2 linked regions of the Rhinolophus ferrumequinum genome follow. The protein of the gene in region 1 interacts with the protein of each later gene in a pairwise test. Links are inferred from orthologs where the notes say so. Each region holds a gene or a part of one and is shown on either strand. Other genes may lie near its edges.

Region 1 (7,391 bases):
AGAAGCTGGGGACACCCCCAGGTCGCCTCCCCGCCCCGGCCCCCCTCACCTCCACCGCGCTGCTCCATGCTCAGCCCCGGGCCGCCCCCCGCGCTCCACCGGCGAGCCGCCCGGCTCCAGCCCGCGCGGCCACTCGGAGCGGCCCGGCCGGACCCGGCCCCGCCTCCGCGGCGCCCCTCGCGGGGCAGACCCCGCCCGGCCCAAGTGGGCGGTGCAGCGCGGGGGAGGGGTCCCAGGGGCGTCCCCGCCCCCGGGGCGCGGGCACGCGCAAGCACCCCGCGTCACGCGTGTCCCGCGGGGCGCACGCTGGCGCTGCACAGCCGGACTCAGGATCCCTCCCTCCCAGGCCGGTGGCTGTGTGTCTGCGGAGTTCGGTCGGCTCAGGACTCGGTGGCGGCAGCAGGTCACCCTCTACTCCAACCGGGGCCCCGGGGCCAGTGGCGGCTGGTCATTGTTGGAGCACAAAGGGCCTGGCGCCGTGGCGGCCGCCCTACCCCCTCCGTTCTTCTAGTTGAAGCCTCCCTCACAGACACTCTCCGGCTTCGGAGTCCAGAGTGGGAGGCCGAAGGCCAGCTGCCATTCACTCTAGCCCGCGGCCCGGGCCCAGAGCCCGCTCCCCCCCAGCACACGTCAGGGGCCAAGGCTCGGTCCGTGCTTGCCCCACCCCCAGCGTCTTGGAGGCCGCACACTTGGATTTGCGGAGGCGGCGCCACCTGGCGGCGGATTCGGAGAACACGCCCAGTTACCCCCCAAATCCCGACCTCGAGCGGGGAGTCCTACCTGACTCCCCAGCGCTGTATCCCCCTCCTCCTGGAGCCCAGGGCTGCAGCAGGCGCGGCCCTGTGCTCCCCGACCTTCCCTCAGTGTCATTTGATAAAAGAGGATATTGCTCAGAGATGAAGGCCCTGGCCCCTCAACAATCACTGGGGTGAGCCTGTCCAAATCTACAATCCAAACCTACTGCAGCCTCACAGCAGACAACATTCCACTGTCTTCTCAGGGACACGAATATTCTCACCCTCTGGCAAACACAACCTTAACACCCACACGACCTTTCCCACATTCAGTTTCACACAGCCACAATCAGTCTCATCCATCACGTGGTTCCATGTTCCTTCTTTCCATCTTTCAAGCCAACAACTTACAGAGAGAGACACAACACACTCGGTGTCACACGCCTAGTTGTGCATACTTTCACAACTCACAGTCCTTCACACGCAGTCACAATATTAATAAACACACTTAGTCTAAGCATGTTTCACACATTGACAGTCTTATTCACACACAACTTTTTACACATACACATATTGCTCAAACATTCTACCATACAGACTTTCCGTGGGGGTTTATGTGAACTGGTCAGGTCGGCTGATGGAGCACCCCTGGGCAAGGACAGCCACCCGCCCCCTAACCCCCGCCCAGGCCTGCCAGAGCTCCTCTGCCCAGGGAAGGAGCATCCCCCCCTTCCAGGCCACAGCCCTGGCCGGCTCTCAGCTCTATTTTTAGCTCTATGGAAAGGGTTGTTTTTCTTTCTTTCTCCCTGGAAAGGGAAACATAGCCCAGCCACCCTCAGGCTCACCCCGTTTCAAACCCTCAGCCTCACAACAACAGACGGAGCCCCTCTCTCCGGTAGAGAGAGACCCCTCTTCTGGCCTTGCCCTGATCCCAGCCTCCTGGGGCACTAGGAGCCTCCTCCCCTTTCTGGCAAACTGCCCAGAAGCTCGGGCAGCAGCTGGGCTCAACGTGTGTGTGTGTGTGTGTGTGTGTGTGTGTGTGTGTGTGTGTGCGCGCGCGTGTGCGCGCGCGCGCGCGCGCGCAGAAGTGGGGGGTGGGGAGGGGAGGGAGGCCGAGGGCCGCTGCCCACTCCCTTACTAGTGAGGTGGGATGAGGGGATGGGGTTCGTCCTCCTTTCTACCGGAGGGGCATAGGCCCAGTCTGGTACTGAAAAGGAGGTCCTGAATTCTCTTGGGGTGGAGGACTCCCACTCTTGCATGAGTGCGTTTTCTGCTCCTACCTTGGGGGGGGAGGAGCTCCTAGTTCTGCAAGGAGGGGTGGTATTAGCAAGGAGAACGACAGGCGCTCATGTAGCTACGGTTGCTGCTCCCCAGGCCGGAGGAATGGGGTAGGAGCTGCCGTCCACTGCTATCAAGAATAGCGCCCCCCTCTGATACCTTCAGGGATGGGGAACCACGAATGTGTTCAGGAGAAGGGCGAGGACACCAGGTAACCCCACCCCAGTCCAACAGTCTCCGGTACGCCGGTGCTACCCCATTCCAGGGGGCGTTGTGCTCCCATTTCTGGGGGAGGGCTTATCACCTCTCGAAGCGGAGAATGGAATACAGCCCCCTGTGGGACCTCGCAAACTCGCCCTGGACTAGCAAGGGAGGTCTTCGCCCTGAGGCCGGGGTGGGGGAAGCACAACCCACCCGTCTGCGAAGCGATCCGGGGCTCGGCGCCTGTTTGCATATTAGTCCTCACCTGCCGGCGGCGGGGAAGCAGGAACAGCCCGCGGTGTCTCGCCCGCCTCGCCCCTGTCTGCACTTTTCTCCCGCCCCTGTCAAGCGCCGTGCCCGCTGGGGGTCTGCGCCAGCCAGTGGCGCTGCTCCACGGGCTACAAGAGTAACTCACTGGGCGCGTCCTTTCCTGGGTGCACGTGTGTTTGTGTGTCCCAAGTGCGTGAGTGGGTGTGTGTGCACGCGTGTGTGGGCCCGTCGGTGTGAATTTCCGCGTCGGTCCCCTGTTCAGGGACCCCCCCCCACTCCCATCCTAACCCCCAGTTTCGCCAGACCGCAAAGTTTAATCCGGAGCGGAGTTGTGCGGGAGGCGGGAGTTCCTACACCTTTGCGCCCCCACTACTCACCCAGCACCACCTGCGCCGCTGCTTCAGCTCCTGCCTGGCTCCTCCTGCTCCAGTGCGGGCACCTCCTCGATGCAGATCCGCCGGCTCCCAAGCCCGCTTCGGGCTCCGGACTCGCAGCGCCCGCCAGGCCCGGCCTGGTGGAGAGGGGCGGGGCCGCTGAGGCCGCGCCCCCAACCGAGGGAAAGGAGTGGTCTGCTCAGCACCCACTCAACGGCCAAGCCGGTACCAAACCCCGCAGTAGCTCCACGGTGACCCGAGGCTGCCCTCTGGTCTCTGACTTCACAGCTTACAGGATCTGGCTTTCGACCTGGGGAAGGGGCGAGCGGCACGTGACCGACAGCTAAGCTACCCACCTGGCTGCCCTAACCAAGCTGGCTATAAGACTTTTTCTGCCACCTCCCCTGCTCTGGAGGGAGCCAAACCTGGTCCACTCTCAGCCCACTCCCCAGACGCCGGGAAAACCCCTGGGAAGCAGACAAAGAAGGCTCGGGTTTCACCAAAACAGACCCGCCCCTCTGTCCCCTCCTCCCTCCCACCCCGGCTCCGCGTGCCCCCACACCTCACTCTCCCCTGAAGTAGTGTCTGCCAGGTGAGCAGACCTACCAGTTCTGGCCCCCCACAGAGCATGGCCTGGCTTCCCTTAGACTCATAAAGTTCCACCCACAGGCACAAACAGGAAGTAGGCCTGCATTGCAGGGAGGCACCTAGAGCTCCCTCCCTCCAAGAAACGCAAGGCAGCATATGATGTCTACAGGTATCTGGGCCGTATTTACAGCCGGAGTACTTGGGCAGCATAAGTCCAGTGAATTTAGTTCCTTCTCAAACCCAACCGCAGTAAAGAAGCTACTGGAGGACCAAAGCAGCCCTCACAGCTGAATCTGAGATCCAGCTGGCCCCTGCTTGGCCAGGCCCTTCCTGAGCTCTCAGGGAGATTCTTAACATGCAGTTGGACGTAAGCAGAGTACTTTGCCTCAATCCACTTTGGCAATGTCCAGGGTCAGTGGCTCCCAGGGCCCTTACACAGGACTCAGGGATCCCTCATTGCTTTCTAGGTTCCAGGTACTCCTGAACACATTTTGGGCTCATCTTGATGTGAATAAAGACAGGTGTGGAGTGGAATGTATTTGTATAGGGCGTAGGGCAGGGGGAGCATTAACTTCCCCTCCCCCCATCATTCTGGTTTATATTGTGTGGGGTGTCTGCTAGGAGGATGGGGCAAGACAAACAGGCAAGTGTGTATCTATCCCTCTATCCCCAATTCACAGACACCTCACAAAGTTCCCTTAATGGAAACCCCTAAAGGATTTCCTGAGAACACACAAAACATTCTAGGAAGACGAGAATGTGGAACCCACGTCTTTATAGGTTAGGACTGACCTAGTGGTGTGCATCTGGAAGGCATGGCTGACGTTCAATGTTACAGACCCTGGATGAGGCTTAGACCAGCCAGCGGCTGGGAATGATTATTGCGGGGATTAGGAGGCCTGGCTCCAGCCAGTCTGGGAGAGACCCCCAAGAAGGGAGGCCCTCCAGGAGCTTTCCCCTCCCTTCCCCCAGGTTCTCCCCCCAAACAGCTTAGCTCCAGGTCTGTTTCAGGAGCCAATTGTAGTCAAGGTTCTCACACATAAAAGACAGCGACCCCAGACCCTTCTGCAGGGTCCTAGAAACCCCTCTTGGGTTGACGGGGAGATCTTGATAAGGCAGCCTTGCTTCCAAGGAGCAGGGAACCAACCGCCACCCTTACAAAAGGCTTCTCCCTAGGCCCCTCTTGCATTCTTACCACTCTTGCAGGCAAATCTAAAGGGAAACTGGGATTTTAGGATATTAGAGGAAGTGAGATGAAAGTCTCATCATCTAGGAATATTTCCGACAGGGTCTCTGTGTAACTTATTTTCTCATCTCCCTCAGGACTTGTTGAAAACGAGGAATCCTATGTCTCTCCTTGAACCTCCAGAATTCGAAATCTGTGAGGATTGGGGCAAATTGGGCCTATGTTCTTCTTTTTAAAACAAGAGTCCTAGGAGTTCTGACACACACTAACATAAGAGAAACACTGAGGGTACAGGAGGAGGGAAGTGGACGGGGGCCAGGTAAGAATATGCTAAGCCTGAGTCCACATTGCAAGAGGTCAGTTCGTGGCTTATTATCACAGAGGGACAGCTTGTCAGGCTGAGCTTAGGTAAGTGGCCAGGTGACTCACATCTCTGCCAGAGATCACATGGAGATCCTCAAGGAAAACAGGGATAAAGAGACACCATCATGTCTTCCCCTGGCCAAGAAGAGGTGTCAAGGGTGTGTGCATGTAAAGGCCCTTTAATGCTCTTGCTTCCTTGGGAGCGGAGCTCAAAGACTGGGGTGGGGGAGGGGACCTATCCCAATTCAGAGGAAAATCGTTATAGACTGGGGAGACACCTGGTGGACAAATAAGAAACAGCACAGAAACAAAAGCAATGGAAAATTTATTTTAGTAAAACTTCAAAAGGCTCTACAAAAAATTATGACTGCATCCACTGCAGCGGTCTGAGGCAGCATACCATACAATGTGTCCAGGTGGCAGGCACGCTAGGTTCACAGCTTCTTTCCATGGCTCTCTGGCCAAGCTTCCACCTTTGGGGCCCTAATATTACAGGGCTAAGCACCTAGGATCCAATGGTAGTGAGTGCCACCACACAGCAGGCTCGACTGGAGCGGAGGAGTTTGGTACCTACCATGTCGCCCTTCGGCTCGGAAAGCCTATGCTGGAATTTTGGCCAGAAGTCCCCTATTCTCCTCCAGGTTCAGGGGGCCTGACCCCACTACTCTGAACTCAACTTGCTCATTCCCACCTCAGGGCCTCTGTATTTACCTTTCCTTCCGCCTAGATCCCTCTTTCTCCAGATGTTCACGTGGCTCAATACTAGTTCTTTAGGCCCGGGCTCAAATGTCCTCTGCTCAGAGACAACTTTTCAGACCTTAATCTAAACTAGCCTGTAAGTACTATCCCATGACTATTTTATTTTTTGAATAGCATTTTTCATTATCTAAAAGTGTGTTTTGTATTTATTTGTTCATTAGCTTACTTGTCCCCACACCAAATTTTAAGTTCCATGGAAGCAGGGACCTCATCTGTCTTGTCAGTGCTATATTCCTAGGACCTAGAACAAAACCTGGCACACAGTAGGTTCTCAAATATTTGCTAAATTGAATTCTCTCACTATGGGACCCTGCCCTAGGCTAGGTCCCTCAGACTGAGAAGAGCCCGTAGCTCAGGACCACAGGACAGAGGCAGCCCTAGCAGAGGGCCAATAAAGAGTCTATGCCCCAGCCTGTCCTGTCAGGCTTATTTCAGTGTCCAGCTCTGTACTGCCTTCACCTTGAAGGCTTAGAGGGGTCTGGCTGGTAGGGGTTGGGGGCCTTGCTCGAGTAAGTCTCAGAGTTCTGGGACACAGCACCCTTTTTGCTAGAAGAGGGCTTTTTAACCACTAGCCCATTGTCATCCTTGATCTTCTTGAGCCGGGCCTTGCTCTTTGGTGGTATGGAGAAGGTTAGAGAGCTCTTGTTGAACTCAAGCGGGAAGACACCTACGTCTCCATCAAAGCGGTTCTTGGCCACCTGTAGATACCGTTTGCCTGGTCCAGTTACCAGCTTCCTGTCCTGCAGGATCAGAACATTGTCTGCTTCCTGGCTTGCCTGAGGGATGGGGGCAGAGGACAAAGGAGCAGTGAGAAGACATATGAGAGAAGCAGAAAGAAAGGTTGAGGGTGCAGGGAGAAGTGGCAAGAATGAGGAAAGTACTTCCCCCCCTTCATCAAAGCTCTTTGAACTACTGACCACGATGCTTGAGGCCACGTGAGTTTTTCAGTTCCATAACGACCTTGCTGCTGTCCCAGATTTTGTATCTGCTGTTCCCTCTGCTTGTAACACTTCTCCACAACTCACCACCCTACTCAACGCCAGCGTCTTATCATTGAGGTCTTGGTTTAAATGTCATACTTCACTAGAGAGACCATTCTTGATCCCCATAAATAAAGAAGGTACCACCATCTTTCCACTTCTGTGTTATTCTCTTCCCCAGCTCCATGTTTGTTCCATTGTGGCACATAGTTTGTGCTCCTCGCCCTGTATTCCCTGTGCCCAGCCCAGGCCTGGCATGTAATAGGCATTCAGTGTACCATGGGGAGCTCTAGGATCGGGCTGGTCCTGCTGCTCAGAAGGCATCCCATTTATTTGATTATTTCACACCTACTGTCAGCCAAGACTAAACCCAACCTTTGCTGACACCTCCTCTAGGAAGCCTCCCCAGATGTCCCAGGCTGACTCAGATGTCTTTTCTCTTTGCTCCCCAAATACCTGTGCTGCCTATCATAACTTTTATCACACTGAGTTGTAATCACTCTCCCACTGTCTCCCCACCAGAGGATGTGAGCTCCTGGAGGGTGAGGAGGGCAAAGGACCAGCTATTATCAGACTTTGTATTCCTCGTGTCATGGCCCCAGCTGCCTCATCCAGAGGGATAGTCAAGATGATTGAAACCTGACGGAGGGCTACCTCT
Region 2 (7,940 bases), on another chromosome or scaffold:
CTTCAGTACACTGTTTTCCTGGTTTGAAACATGGAAAATGTTTCCTTTTATCCATAAAGTGTTTAAGCAAATTTCAGGTGATTTTAATGTGCAAATTGGACTGGGAACAGAAGAAGGTGGCCCCACTGCCAGTTACTTTTATGATTTAGGATTTCCGGTTTAGAATTTGAAAGCTACAAACTATTAATATGCCTAGTTTGGAAGAAAGCCCTTCCACATGTGACATTTCTGTGGTCGGCATGCGGGCAGATGACTAGCAGAAAGGCTGTTTATGTCAAGTTAAATAGTCAGCAAAATCATTCGGAAAAGAGAAAATTCGAACTACAGTTTGAGATGTTTAAGTGAAACATTGATATTGAAGTAAAGACAGTAGGAAGGTTGAGAACTGTAAAATTTTAGATTTGGAAGAGACCTTAGGAACAATCAGAAATAGTTTTCTGATTTCACAAATGGCAAGACTGAGGTAAGGCAAAGAATCATCCCAAATAGGTTCCATTTCCAATAAAGCAATCTGGCTTGTATTCAGTACACCACTTACTGCAGTCACAGTTTGACAAATACACTGTCCTTAAATCCTGAGTCATCAGTGTAGGAAAAGGGGGAAAATGCAGTGAGGGAGGTCACCTTGAGAAAGCCCTGAAGAAGTACTGGGTGGGTGGACAGCCCTCATGATGAGGAAGACGTCCTGAAGTGGGAGGAGAAAGGAAGGGAGAAGAAACCCCAAGAAATGGTCCTTTTGATCACTCTCACTTCTGATTATGTTCTCAGTCGAGATCCAAGAAAATAAACAACCAAATTCCATGAGCTGCCAACGTGGCAAATCATGCTCCATTTACTTCGTGGGAAGGCATAGGGGACATCAAACATACTCGTCTCCTCAATCTCTCCGTTTTTCTAATTCATCCCAGTCAGCCTTAACGTACTTAATGCTGTAGCTCTAAAAGTGATAAGAAAAGCATTTGGGTGGTAATCACAGTGCTGTCAGCTCAGTTTGCCCTTTCTACAGAGTGCCCACAAGTTGCCACTCCGCTCAGAGTCCTTGGACGCCAGCACAAGGTCTTTGGGGCAGCGTGGGTTGTCCCGCTTTCAGCCCTGGTGACATACTGAGGTACTACTGGCTACTGGAGAAATCCTGGAATGATTTGTTCTGCCACTTGAGCAGCTGGGCACGAAAGAAGCACAACCTCAGCACCACAGCTATAAAGTATGGGACAAAAACTGAGCAGCGATGTCCTTTATGGATGTACAAGACTAGGAGGAAGTATTCAAATAAGCAAGTGATTGTTCCTCACAGTCAAGACCAAGGTGAAGACGGTCAGAAGTGCTGAGCTCCTACAAGGGCAAAAATGATACTGACACAGAGAGAAAAAAGAACCTCATTTACCCACCTCAGGGCAAATGTGAGAAACCACCAGCTATGGGCGGCAACTCAGGAAACCTCTAAAGTTTTCCGGCAGCGCTGACACTACAAATTCATCAGTACGGTAGAAGAGGGCACCGTGCCTGTCAGGAGAACCAAAGATTGGGAGGCGAGGTGGGGGGCTGGCATCCTGCTATCCTCTTAAAAATGTGTCCAACAGATTAATCGGCAAACAAGAACCCCGCTTCCGCCCTATTTTGAGGCAGTACCGCGAGAGGAATTACCATCCAACATCTCCGTCCCCCCCAAATCCCTTTAATTCAAAAAGTCATCACCCAGATCAGCGTGGTAAGAATTAAGAAAGTGAGGAGGCGCCCTGACGCCCCGCCCACTGCAGCATCGCCACCCACGGGGGGCGAAGGGACGCCCACCTTGGAGTCCTGCAGACTGAAGACGCTGGGGTCGTCCGTGCTGCCCACCATGATCTTGTGCTCCTTGCCCGGGCCATGGCCGCCGGTGCCCTCAGCGCGTGCTGCCTTGGCGCCGTGGCGCTCCCCGGCCACCCGGTCGCTGGTGGTGTTTCCCATGGCTGCAGCTCGTGTCGGGGGCCACCTGCCGTGGGGAAAAGCACCGTGCGAGGAACACCCCTGCGGCCACGTCAGGGGCGCGCGCAGCCCCACCCCTGCGCCTGGGGACACGGGCAACGGAATCCCCGCCGCAGGGAAGCCGTGCCCGTGGGTGCCCTCCCTCCCCGGCCTCCAGGAGCGCCCCGAACCCCCTCCCTGCCCGCTGCTCAGGAAACCCGCTTTCGGGAACTCCCCTGCATCCCAGCGCTCACGCCCCCACCCCATCACCTCCTGAGACGCGCTCCCTCCTCCCCGGGCCACAGGCGCGATGGATGCTCTGCGGCTAAGGCCACCAATAAAGTTATTGAAATTGAAGCCACGCGCGGAGCTAGGGAGCCGGGTTTCCTCCTAAAATGGCTACAAGGCCGGCTGTGCGGTCCCGCCCCGCGCGCCTTCCCTGCGGCCCCGCCGCGCAGCTGCCCGGCCCGCCGGCCTCTCTAGCCGCCGCCGCCTCCATGGTAGGCGGTCGTGGGCGGCCTTCCGTGCTCGGCGGGGGCTCCCGCCCGTCCGCTGGGGACTGGCTGCACCCGGACAGCCCGCCCGGCGACACTGCACCGGGCAACGTCAGTGCGCGGAGCTCCCGGGCCTGCCGCGCGGATCACACGGTTCCCGAATGACATTGGGGACCGCCAGCCAGGCACCGGTGCTCTGTACCCCGAGGAGCGGGGTTTTCTTCTCGGGCCCCCTCACCTGGGCTCAGCTTCGCCAAAACATTTTCTGGACAGCGTCTTTGTGGCAGTCGCCCCGGAGAGGTGGTGTCCGGGGGGGATAGGAAAACGGACTTTCCACTGACGCAGAAGGATTGGTCCAGGCTAAAATTAAGTGGTGTAGGGAGCTGTCAGCCGCGACTGGGGCCCCAGGGAAGATGGAGTGGTTACGAAATAAACCTTGATAAATTAGTAAAATGTTACTCTGAAGAGGAGAAAGCTATTCTAAGAAATGGCATATCAATTAACGAACCCGGAAGAAATGAAATTCAAGAAAGAGTGCAGGAACAAAAACATCAGAAGGAACTCTGAGGGCAGAAAAGGGGGAAGACAGACCTGGGTTTGGGACAAATCCCAGCTTTTACTGATGATTAATGGAACTTTACCAGTTAGTGGCATTTACCAATTCTTACTTTGTGTTACGATTCTATGTCTCATTCCCTCCACGAAATCCTTGGCACTCAACGTGTGTTTCAGGGACTGGCAGCACAGGCATCACCTGGGAACTTGTTAGAAGTGCAAAACCTGGCCCCATCCTACAGAATAAGAATCTGCACTTTACAAGGTCCTCAGAGGAAGGTGTGTGCCTGGTAAAGTGTAAGAAGCACTGCGTTGACACTGGCAGAGAGGACTCCATTTGATTCCTCTTCGTATTCTGTATGCACCTTGGACAGAGTGAACTTTAATACACATTTGCGGACTGAAGGGTACGTGAATACTGATTATTATATTTCTCACAAGAATGCCACTTAGGCTTAAACACAGCCGGTGATGGCGAACTCCATCAAAGCCACCCTTCCGGAATGAGCCACTCTATTTATTGAAAAGTTCATTATTATATTAAGTTGAAAACCCACCCACTTAAGTCCAACAAATCCACTCCTTCCCCTTTGATCTATGCTCAGCCCCAAATAAACTGTTGTTTTCTGGCTCTTAACCAAAGACAGTTTGCAGACTAAAAACAGAATCTTGACTGTCTGGTTACTTCCTTTTGGTGAACTCCCTGCCCTCCCCAATTCCTGTCATTCTTTCCATAGGACTCTGAATCAAGGCCTTTGAAGGAATAACACATTAAACCTTAACTAATGTACTATTCAGCTTTCTAACTCCAGGTTGGTCTCTCCGGGCCAAATAATATGTCTCTGGTACATATTTCCTTACAGTAGTCAAATCACCAGGGGAGAAGCATACACAATATATATTAGCCAATGGAAAACTTGTTAGGAAGAGAAACTATTTTTGTAAAACTAAATAGAAATGATTTTTGGATTATCTGATTTGGGGGTGGGAAACAAAAAACTTTCATGGCCAATAGCTTTTCTGAAAGAAACCGTTTATTGAACCAGATGCCAGCCAGAAAAGGACAGGGTCCTGGTGCGCGCTGTCTGCACCAGCAGCGGCAGGGCTACGCACTTCTGGCATTGACGGATCCTTCATATCTCGGGTTTAGAAAACAAAGACGAAAGTTGTTTTGAAAGAATTGGCACTGGCTATGGATAAAGGGCGTGTGGAAAAAGTGAAGAGGGCCTAGTTCTGGGATAGGTGCATAGTCTGTAAGGAAGAAGCGTTTGTTCTTGAGGACCGGTTGTGGGCAACAGTCTGGAAAGGTCATGCATAGCAAGGTAATGGAGGCACTGGTGGTCACTTGTGCTGGTGGCGGGCTACTGGCTCTTCTCTTTAGATAATTGTGCAATAGCTACCTGGAAGTTAACTCAGAGTTGTAACATTCATTCAGGAATGCGAGCAAGTCTTACGATGATTTTCCCCGCAGTTGTTAACTGATTAACCTCTCTTGTCTCTTTCTTCTACCCTCGGGCCTGCTATAATTTAATTTAGGACTTCTCAGAGTGTTCATTTTCTAGTCAGGGGATTGTCGATGACATTCTTGGACTCTAATAGCACTTGGAAGTCAGTCCACAGTAAACTCTGCGTGTTGCATGTTTAGACATAGGACACAAGTAACTTGATTCTGTAGGAAGGATTGATTGCTTCTCCTTACTACCTACCGAGTTTTTGGGTTTTTTCCTTAAACATAGGAGTGTCTAGGCAAAGAAGCAAGATCTCTTAACCAATGGCATATAATGGTTTCCTTTGCTGTGCAGAACCTTTTTAGTTTGATGTAGTCCCACTTGTTTATTTTTGCTTTTGTTGGCCTTTGTTTTTGGTGTCAAATCCAAAAAATCATCACCAAGACTGATGTCAAGGAATTTATCCCCAATGTTTTCTTCTAGGAGTTTTATGCTTTCAGGTCTTAGATTCGTCTTTAATCCATTTTGAATGAAAAGCTGGGATTTCATTGTAGGGAAAAGAGAAAAGAGGATTAATGCGTTGGAAAGAGAAATAAAAGTAGATTTCTGGGCAATGTGAAGCTAAGAGTTGTCCTGGAGGCATCTCTCGATCCAGCTCCCCAAAGAAAACCGGGGCAACGACAGTGGAACTGCTAAAAATAGGTTATAATTATGGCAAAAAAAACCACAGCGAGCATGAACCAGGCCATCGTTAATGCTGAAATCATGGAACCACTGCTCTTAACTTGTCTGGTCATCATAGGCTTCCTGATACGCTCGTCTATGGTGAGGATGGCTTTTCGGGCTCCATCCCACTTTCCCGGGCCCTGTAGACGATACTGGATTGGAGTGTAGGGTCCCAATAATAACTGTAATGCCAGCTTGGGGTCGGTGAAGGCCAGAGACAGCAGGTTGGGTCTGACGCCCACCAGATCAGCAAGTTCCACCGTGGTATCTATAAAGTCTGTCTGAATGGTGTGGCGTTGGCTCTCCAAATACCTGAAGCAGACAAGACAGGAGCCGTGGCTGTCAACAGTCAGTCAGTCAATCAATCAATCAATCAATCTAGCAGTGCTTTCTGAGTACCTGTTATTGGATCAATATTAGACTAGGAGCCTATGGAAAATAGAGAAGAAAATAAGACTTTGTCCTTTATGACTTTGTAATCTATCGGAGGAAATAGGATAGATACAAATGAAACAGAAGAATATATGACTTTTGGCAAATCATGTGGTTTCAGACTGTTAAATAGAAATGTAGAAGAGGGTAGTTAAAAGAGAGCTTGAAGGATGTGGAAGATATAGATAAACTGAGAACAAAGAGGAATATGTCACAAGTCAGGGGACCATCAGAGTGAAGGAATAAAATAGGAATGAGTGTAAAAATTGCGTATAGAATATCTGTAGGCACCACCTACAGTAGCAGAGGCGTGCTGTGGAAAACAAGGATATATACAGAGACGCAAGGACAGCAGATCCATATCCAGAGGACTTGGATATTATCAGAACGAGAGAACCCACCACAAAATTCTGAAGTTTGGGACCCTCAATTGTTTTATGAGGGCAGTGGTGGTGGGGTCCACAGTGCAGGACTTCCCAATGTTAATTCAGAATCTGGAAAGGAGGGGGTGAGAATGACTTACCCCCCTCCCAATGGAGCCAAATGGAATGACTGATGACACTAAGTATAGATCTGAAGAGCTAACAGGGCTTTTTAGAGGGGAAGAGTGGTAATAGCAATACTTGTGTGGAAGGAGTGGGATTCGGAAAGCTACCTGATAACCTCCTCGTTTTCCTTTCTATTCTGAAAATGAAAGAAAGAACAGCGGGACAGAAAGGTAGTAAGAGGAAAGCCAGGTCAAGTTAATTGAGATTAGAAGGGCTTCCTCGGATTAGGAGAATCCAAAACAGACAGGAAAAGGTGAGCGACTGTAAATTTGAGGTAGAACAGGTGAAATGGAACTGAAAGAAGGTCAAAGAGGAATTTATTGAAATGGAACTACAGTTTAGAAGAAAGAAGATAGGACAGAATTTGAGAGCTCCCCCTTGTGGATGTGATGCCGGCCCAAAGGTTGGTAGGCATGCAGTTACCCTATGGTACTGGGTGAAACGCTGTCCCCGTCATGAAGGTGTCACAAAGATTCAATAAACTCACACGTATAAAACGTTATGTGTAAGTACATAATTAACCCTTCATAAAGGCTCAATGATATCCTTAGGGACAGCTCAGTCTGAAGGTGGCTAGACAAACGTCTGAAGAGAGGGAAAGTTGAAATAGGGTATTTCATTGCCAGGAAAGCAAAGAAAGAAAGCATTCCAGAAGAGAGTGGTTGCAGGAGCAAGGACGGAAGTTACAGTGCAGGGAGCTTAGGAGGGAGAAAAGGCTGAGACTTTAGAGCATATCAGGTAGAATATGGATGCAGAAGTTCGGCAGTGGAAGGAAGGAAAAACTAGGAGAGCACCTGGCAAGGATATCAGGGTGGAATAAAAACGCTCTCCTCCTCCGAGGCAGGGGACAGTTGCGCCAGTACAATCAATTGAAGAAAACCACCTCTCTGAACCTGCAATGATCCTGCCTCTGACTTGCCCACAAAGGTTTAGGCACCTGCCATTAGCTCCCACTTTGTCTAAAGAAAAGTCACCCAGTGAAGTTCAGATGCTAAATGACTGTGTCACCCAAGCACTAAGCACTCGGCGACGTACCACCTTCCCTGATCATGCAGGCTGTTCATACCATGAGGCACTGTGACCTGAGCATGCTGTCCCCTGGCGACAGCCTGCCCAGTGGCCTCTGCAGATTTGTAAATCTACTTGCGGTTTGGAATTCGACCATGTCTGCGCGCAGTAGTTCATTGCCGCTCTTCCTTCTTGTGGCAGCTCTACTAGCACTTGAAGCAATCCTTGCAAAAACAATATACCTGATTTTCTCCCCATGTGCGTTTTCCTACAGGACTTTTCTTTCAGGCCCTAAACATAGGATTTTAAACACTTTTCTTCAGCTTGTCTCTTCTTTCTCACCTATAACAAACCTCTCGGTGCTATTTCTCCATTCTCTTGTCACAAACTATTATTTCCTTTTTCTTCAGAATATAACCTAAATCCTGAAAACTAACATGAGAAAGATAAATACAGTACACTATTGCTTTTATTAAGAACTAAGTGAGTAGAGAAAGTAAGCACCTACTTTCCTGGGAGAATTTCTTACCTTTTGTCAATTTTCTCTTGAGCCTCAGTTATATCTCTTAACATTTCACTTTGTGAGGGTAATGTTTTCAGCCCTAAAGAGAAAAACCAAATATTTAAGTGTGAGGTTACTTCCACAGGAACTAGAATCCTATTAACAAGTACTATGTTCTGGAGAATTCAAATAATTCCTTAAAAGTCAGTAAGTGTGAACTGCAGGCTGTTGATGAACAAGGAAGAGCTGAAGTTCAGAGATTTCCCAAGGGTTCTAGCAAGGT

The links. The genes of interacting proteins can lie anywhere in the genome.
Region 2: the proteins of LZTS2 (region 1) and PRKAB2 interact in binary tests that used the Homo sapiens proteins (3 or more experiments, as listed by UniProt). The link is inferred for Rhinolophus ferrumequinum from reciprocal best matches to the Homo sapiens genes LZTS2 and PRKAB2.

Annotation. Positions count from the first base shown.
Region 1 is NC_046299.1:23,693,837-23,701,227, forward strand, and holds the start of LZTS2 (leucine zipper putative tumor suppressor 2), read right to left. Parts: upstream 3,014-7,391; 5' UTR 2,861-3,013; intron 171-2,860; exon of another isoform or gene 50-170; intron 1-49. Other genes in the region: TWNK (twinkle mtDNA helicase), read right to left, coding at 6,209-6,529. UniProt on the Homo sapiens protein: Negative regulator of katanin-mediated microtubule severing and release from the centrosome. Required for central spindle formation and the completion of cytokinesis.
Region 2 is NC_046305.1:49,426,670-49,434,609, forward strand, and holds the start of PRKAB2 (5'-AMP-activated protein kinase subunit beta-2), read right to left. Parts: upstream 3,013-7,940; 5' UTR 2,677-3,012; intron 2,345-2,676; exon of another isoform or gene 2,215-2,344; intron 1,973-2,214; 5' UTR 1,948-1,972; coding exon 1,792-1,947; intron 1-1,791. UniProt on the Homo sapiens protein: Non-catalytic subunit of AMP-activated protein kinase (AMPK), an energy sensor protein kinase that plays a key role in regulating cellular energy metabolism.